Solanum lycopersicum: one gene and its partner. The protein of the gene in region 2 interacts with the protein of the main gene of each other region in a pairwise test. Links are inferred from orthologs where the notes say so. Each region holds a gene or a part of one and is shown on either strand. Other genes may lie near its edges.

Region 1 (3,759 bases), on a different chromosome or scaffold from region 2:
AAAAGTTACTAGATGTACCAGAAAAGTCAAGGTTGGTCGTAGTAATATCCCAAACTTGAACCCATAATGTCCAAATCCTGAATCTGCCTCTGATCAACTACGTTAACCATTGGTCCTGTTACTGGTTGTCCGATGGTGGTTGCTCCATATATACCAACTCCAATGGGAGCAATTGGTGCTGTTGGAGATAGTTTGTTGGATTTGCCAGAAGAACCAATTGTTTGGCCAGTGATTGGAACTCGAGGTACGGAGACATCTCCGTTATTAACACTAGTAATGTCATGTATACTTGTTCGTCTTCTGTCCTTGTTCATCGAGTTTAAACGTATGAAATATTTTTGGGCATGACTGGCCACTTGTGTAGGAGTTCTTGTCACAACAAAGTTTCGAGAGATACTTCTCCAATCACCTTTCCCATATTTTTCCAGTCCAAGAAGGAACAATCTGCATACCAACAAAGATAAAGCAAATGAAGCAAAACTCTGTCAGTACAAAATATCGGGAGGATGTTAAACGGTATCTAGAATGCAGAAGACGTCAGCAAGAATATGCATCTTCAATTATTTTCTCTGCAGCCATGGTTCTTACAGCCAACAAAATGAGAAGTCCAATTGCTACAAAACAAGATCCAGTTTCAGGAATTTCAAGTACAACACGCAGTTTAGGATGGAAAGGTGAATCCAAGTGAAAAACCATTGTCCGATTAAAATGCAGGTAGCTTGAATTGGACAAAAAAAAAGCTCTAGAGATTAGGAAAAGATGCATCAGCCTGTAATTACTGTACTAATGCATAAACAGACATCTTTAATCTTAACATTCAGACACGCGAAAACCCCTGAATCACTTAGAATGTTTCTCTATCGATCACATCTCCCATCGAAAGAGAATTTTCTGAAAGTGACAGCAGGATAATACAGTTTAACAAATGTCTGCCAACAGCTTAGTTAGTCCTATTACTTCATGAAGTACACCCTCATAACGACAGTCGACAGTCACTACGTTTCCAGGCAAAGAAAGTTTTCGGCAGAAGGCGCATAAAGCTAAGTTTGATAAGATTATATTCACTGAAACATGAAGGGAAAAAAGAAACAGAAAGTACCACTGCACTCTCCTAAATGACATGTAGCAACCTCAAACACAAGGTATGAAACTCATGAGTTAGTGTTCTGACTTACACTCCAGCGTTACCCGACCCTCAACCTATCGAATGATGGTGGAGGTGCTCGACCACTTGAACAAGCCTCAATTGTCTCAAACAAATATACAATAAACAAGCTTAATATTGTATTGAAATAACTGAAGTTCAACGGTTACTGACCTGTGCTCATCCTCCGTCCAAGCAACCCCTTTACGCCGGTCCTGCTCCAATTTAGTAGATTTACCTCCATCATTTGACTCACTATTTAGCCTCCCTGAAACCCCACTCTTCTTGCCAATTCTTTCACCACCAACATCATTGCACAAAGACCTGTCAAAAGTAGAGTTGTACCAAGGCAAAGGAACATAACCAGACTCGATTCGACTCACATCATCGAGTAAAATTTCGTAATGATTCTTAACCTCTTGTAAGGTTTTCCCTTGAACATCAGCTGCAATTTTCTCCCACCTATCTACACAATCCTCAGGATAAGTTGCTAATGCATTCTCAAATTCTATATCTTGCTCTCTGCTCCAAATTGAGCTTCTTGATTTATCTACTGTCATTCTTGAAATTCACTATCAAACTTTTTCACTGAGACATTTTATCAAACAGGTACTATGCATTCCCATAAAAAAATCTTGAAAATTCATTTCTAAGCACATATATATACACCAGTACACTGCAACAACAACTACGCCATGCTAGTTGGGATCGACTATATGAATTCGATTTAAATTAGCATAATACATAAATATAACCTTTAATTTGGTTTCGAATCACTTTTATCTCATTCAACTTTCAGCGTGCACAAGTAAACACTTAAACTTATATAAAGTTGAACAAATAGACACACATGTCTACATGTCATCCTACATATCATTTTTTATCCTACGTGTATAGTATCATGTATGCTCACGTGTTTATTATTTAAAAATTTAATAGTTAAATAATTGTTTGAGCATTTAAACTCAAATTTAAAATCTAATATATATATTATGTCATTTAAATTTATCTCAACCTAACAAATATTATACTAAAAACAATTAAAAAATTATGATTGGAAACAATGTATTAGACCAATGAGGTCAATAATAATAGAAACAAAAGGGTACCAAAAATAGAAAAATATACAGTTGAGCAACTCAAATAAATATTATTGGGTACCACAACTTTATTTATAATTATTCAAAATTTTGACATTTTTGGACTGGTGACCCTATTGATTAAAAAACGCACCAACTTTATTGAAAGACTGAAAAATACTACAAACATTTATGTAATGTTCGTCTATTTTTAATTGTCATAATTTTTATTTTAGAATCAAAGATAAGTATTTAGATTAATATTTTATGATATATTTTTTCATCAAATTAATATGTAAAAAAATCATAAAGTATAGTATTTTTAAATTTTTTGTTTAAAATATTAAATTAATTCAATATAATTTTACTTTTAAGATTAGTTAAATTGACTTTCGAAAAGTATAACATGATAATTAGAAGTAGACGAGAGGAGTAGCTTTAATAGCTACATCGTTGGTACTATTAAAAAATTATATATCGAATGTTTGTGCATTTTTAAAGGATCTGTCATAATTCAATGATAATTAAGGTTGTGAATTTCGAATATTTGAGGTCTATAAAGGAAATAGATAGATTTAATAGTTACGTGGTTCATTCTTTTCAAAAATAATATATTGAATGTTCGTGTATTTTTAAAAGATATGTCATAATTCAATGTTAGTTAAAGTTATGAAATTCGGATATTGAGCGACTAAGTGAAATTTCGTGGAGTTTTGAAAGAACTTATTGATTTATTTAATGTTATTTTTAGGAAATGAAAATGCTTAAAAAATAGTAGTGAGTACAATGAATAAGTTGTGCAAAAGAGATATTTTGGATTATAATACTACAGGACTAAGGACGGCATACACTGTATCTTCTTTAACAGTAGCAGATGTTTAGGACAACGAAAATGTCCAAAGAATGAAGTTGGTGTATAATGATTACGTAGTATTAAGGTCTGCATTTGAAATTTGAACTTGACGTGAATTTTAAATTTTTTGTACCACTAAGTCAGTCTCTACTTTATATTTAGCGAATTCAAAATCTTTACATATATATTTAAAAGATTACCTTATATCTGTATCGTGTGTTTTTTAAGAGGTTCAGATAAATACTTTATAAGACTCTAAAGTCGTTCGTATTTCCTAAATTCAATTCATAAAATTATATTGAATATATTATGGTAATTTGATTAAAGAGAAGTGAAAGGGACTGCAATGAATGAAACCAATAAAAAAAACAGTATTCAAATAATCATCAACAGGCAAAAATCCCATGTTGATAACAACTGTTTTGCCAGTAGTACAGGCCCCACTTTCTCATCTTACTGCAGTAAAACTAACCTTTTCTTTTTATCGAGACATGGTATGATATATATCGAATTATTATATCATATTAAAAAAATTTAATATTATAATTTTTGTATTATGATATACATTTTAATTTTTTTTTTATATATTTTAATATGATATCTGATATTTAAAAATTGAAGTATGTAACAAATATGCAACATAGCATAATATAATTGAGATATTTTTTTGGATATTGTTTAAG
Region 2 (3,759 bases):
TACCAGTCATAACTAAGTTCTGTTTGCAAATTACAGATGTGCTGCAAAATGAAGCAGATATGACCAAAAAGTAAAGCTGATAAGAAGATTAAACAGCAGATATCTATATCTTATGTGACTGGCTACTAGTTTACAAAGAGCACCAGATCAGGTTATTATTTTCGAGGAATAACCACACTCAAGAGAAATCAATTGGACTTACACCTATCTGTCAGGCAAAACTTCTGATAAATTGAGCATCAATAGGAAAAAACATAACACAAACATACAATAATGAAGCTTTTTGGTGATCCCATAACCATATTCCACCAAGTCTGACAAAGACATAAATTTATACAGCTCCCTTCCCCCAGGCAAAAGCTTGAAGTGCTCGAAAGTTGTGAATTTCAGCTGGGACCACACTCTAAACTCATAAGTCATAACATAGTTCAACTAAAAACACAACCATACCGAAATGTTCACTTATGTATTACATAGTTAGATCATCAAAGTAATGTTACTCTTCCAACAGATTTTTCTGATGTAATACAAGAATAAAAATGCTGGTATCTCAATTTGAGATCTCATATGATAAACTTTTGATGAATATGTAGGAAAAAGATCTCATATGATAAATGAAAACAACCGAAGGTCAAGCTTAAGTGGATAATATCAAAAGTTAGATTCATATTCTGTTCAAATGAAGGAAACATTTCATTCCAGCAAAGAGACACTAGATTTTCATAACCAGACAAACATTAGTCTCCGAAATCAAGGGAAGGGATGTTATAAACTGTACCTGGGACAAGGTTCACCGTATGACAGCAGGAGCATCTCACACTGTTCGCTCCACGTGGATGCATAAGTAATGTACGACAGCCTCCACATATCAATTGAGCCATTTCCATTCCTGAGAAAGATCAAAATTTAAGCAACACCTTCGAGTAACAGAACACAATAACAACTACGCTTCAATCCATGTCAAGGCAAAACAACAAACAATACTACATCTCAATCCAAACAGATCTATACACCAAGCCTCCCCAAACCTAGCCCACTTTATGGCTTTATTTACCATGTCAGCATCAAGCATAGCGTTACTATTAGATACTCAAAATGTTTTTAAGTGCACTAATTTTCTTTCCTAACAACAATCTTCTAGCAACAACACTTGTAATCAACATGGAAGGGGGCCATAATCCAAAAATCAGCCACACAAATTTGAAAGAAAAAAAAAAGTACTTATAACCACATCAGAATCAAGAAAAGCACAGATACCAGGTGGTGGGACAGGGGTGAGTGCATTGCACACTGCACAGCAGACATTAGAAGCTCCTCTGGGATAAAGAAGCATTGTCCTGCACCCACTGCACATCAACTGACTCTGCATATCTGTCGAACAAAAAACATTAACCAAATAGTAATGGCAAGCTCACAAACTAAATTGCAAAATGATCTTTGAGTTACAGTTCTCAAGATTGTAATAAATCTAAAAGTCCATCATGAAACAATGAACTTCGTCTTAACAATCTCTGTTGAGACAAAAAGGTTTCACCTTTCAATCTGTTTGAATATCGAGTCGTCTGAGGTAGAAGAGCTAATTTCTGCCGATCTGTGAGGTAAATTTATTCTTCCTGCTTGACAAAATGAAAGAGAACAATAAATACTTTTCTTCAAGAAAGTTCCTTTCATAATTATTCATCCAATGGTTGAAGCTACAATCTTTTTTCTCAGGATTCACAGATTATACACACAAGAAAAATTCCTATATCAAGTTTTTCATGCTAAGACGGGTCAAACACAAATCTTACAAAAAAAATTGTTTAATCAAACACCCATAACCATGAGTGTGGCTCATCAACCAGGTTCAAATCTCAGCAGAGGAAGAAAAAGCTAGGTAATTTCTAGAGCTAACCAAAACGAGAGCCCTTGCCCCAAATTCTTCCTACCCACCAACCAAAATTTATCCACAATCAATTACACCCATCACAAACATGATTGAAAAGTAAAAAAAAATATCATGTTTAGCCTACCAAATTAAAAGGGAAAACCCCCCAAGAAATTGGATAAAGAAAAAAAAAGCAATCTTCTTACCAGTCAATGAACAAATCTGGAAGATAGGGTACCCCTCTATTATAATATATATATCCCCACACACGAAAAAAAAAAAATATACAGTGAAGGGTACTTGAGATTATCTGAAAATGGGTTGGAATTCAAATGGAAATCTGAGCGAAAATTCCGACAGAAATTGGGTAAATTCAAGATTTCAAAAGATTGGTTTTTGGATATTTTTCTTACATCTCCTTTTTTCTTCTTGTTAAATATTGGGAATAAATGTCTTTTGACCTGTCTACGAATAAAATAAAATAAAATAAATTCTTCCGCTTTCAATTTATTTATTTTATTTTATTTTTTATAAAATAATTTTTTAATTATAATTTTATATGATATATTTAAAATTGCAAAATTATAACTGAAGCTATTTTTAGATAAGGTATAATGCGTATATATGTTTTACCGAAATTAATATGTGATGTATAGAAGTTAAATATATTATCTATTAAAATTACATATTTAATTTTATACGCAATTCACATAATTTAAAAGAATATTTGTTCATAGCTAGTCAAAGTTTTTTACTTTGCTATTGCTACGCTGCATTAGATTGAAATGAGATTCGAAAAAAATAATGTTATTTTTTAAAAAAATTGTGTTAAAATAAAAATAAAATAAATGAATTGAAATGAGAGAATATAAATATTAATTAAAAATACAGTTATTATTTTTTTTTTTTAAATAAGAAGAAGGCTTTTGAATAAGGAACAGAGAGTATTCCTGTAAATTTTGAAATTTATTTGTCAAATTTTATCCAAACGCGTTAACTTATATTTTCTAATAATTTTTCCTTTTGTTGACATCAAAGATTTCTACGTAAAAATAAATATTTAAAAAATTAAAGAGAGATAGAACCGAGTGATGAGATTTTGTCAACAGAGAAAAAAATTATGACGATAGATTATTTTAATCACAAGATTTGTCATAAAATTTTCTATTAAAGATTAATCATATGTATTCTAGTCATCCCATAAGAATTCTTAATAGTTGATTCTAGAATTCATTTATCATTTAAATATGTACCTCGTCTACAGTCACACTGGATATTTTTTGTCGTAAAATTACATTATAAATATATATATATTAATAGCTTAGCTAAAAATTTTATGAAGGATATTTAAAAATTTTATAGCTCGTAAAAATAATTTAAAAAATGAGTGTCTTTAAATTTTGTAAATCAAACTACAAAATATTAATTATTATTTTTTAAAATTAAAATATACCAAAATTTTTGAAATCAAAGTACATACTAATTTAGCTTTAATGTTTACGTTTATCTATCTCATAAGAGTGAACGAACAAAAAAAAAGATATTTTAGTTTAGAGTAAAATCACTTTTATACTCCAAGATTTCACAAACCTCTGATGACCAACAACGAGAAATGAAAAATAAAAAATAGAATCAAATGAGTTATATTAAAAGAGAATTTATATAAAGTATTTTCACTTTTAGTAGCATTATGAAATAAATAAATAAAATTTGCTTATTAACTTTAAATTAAATAATTTCTTTTAAATTTTATTTAAATTTTCAATGAAAAGAAAAAAAATAGATTTTGCTTATTAAATTTAAATTAAATACTTATTTTCAAACTTTATAAAAGTGTTTAATGAAAAGAAAAAATAAAAGTCAAATAACGGGAATCGAATCTGCACACCGCA

Evidence for each region. The genes of interacting proteins can lie anywhere in the genome.
Region 1: the proteins of protein LSD1 (region 2) and transcription factor SRM1-like interact in binary tests that used the Arabidopsis thaliana proteins (3 or more experiments, as listed by UniProt). The link is inferred for Solanum lycopersicum from reciprocal best matches to the Arabidopsis thaliana genes LSD1 and AT5G08520.

What each region holds. Positions count from the first base shown.
Region 1 is NC_090803.1:3,079,652-3,083,410, reverse strand, and holds the start of transcription factor SRM1-like, read right to left. Parts: upstream 2,289-3,759; 5' UTR 1,705-2,288; coding exon 1,319-1,704; intron 445-1,318; coding exon 27-444; 3' UTR 1-26. UniProt on the Arabidopsis thaliana protein: Transcription activator that coordinates abscisic acid (ABA) biosynthesis and signaling-related genes via binding to the specific promoter motif 5'-(A/T)AACCAT-3'. Represses ABA-mediated salt (e.g. NaCl and KCl) stress tolerance.
Region 2 is NC_090801.1:55,747,847-55,751,605, reverse strand, and holds the start of protein LSD1, read right to left. Parts: upstream 2,492-3,759; 5' UTR 2,074-2,491; exon of another isoform or gene 1,791-2,073; intron 1,617-1,790; exon of another isoform or gene 1,614-1,616; 5' UTR 1,535-1,613; intron 1,372-1,534; 5' UTR 1,370-1,371; coding exon 1,258-1,369; intron 890-1,257; coding exon 779-889; intron 1-778.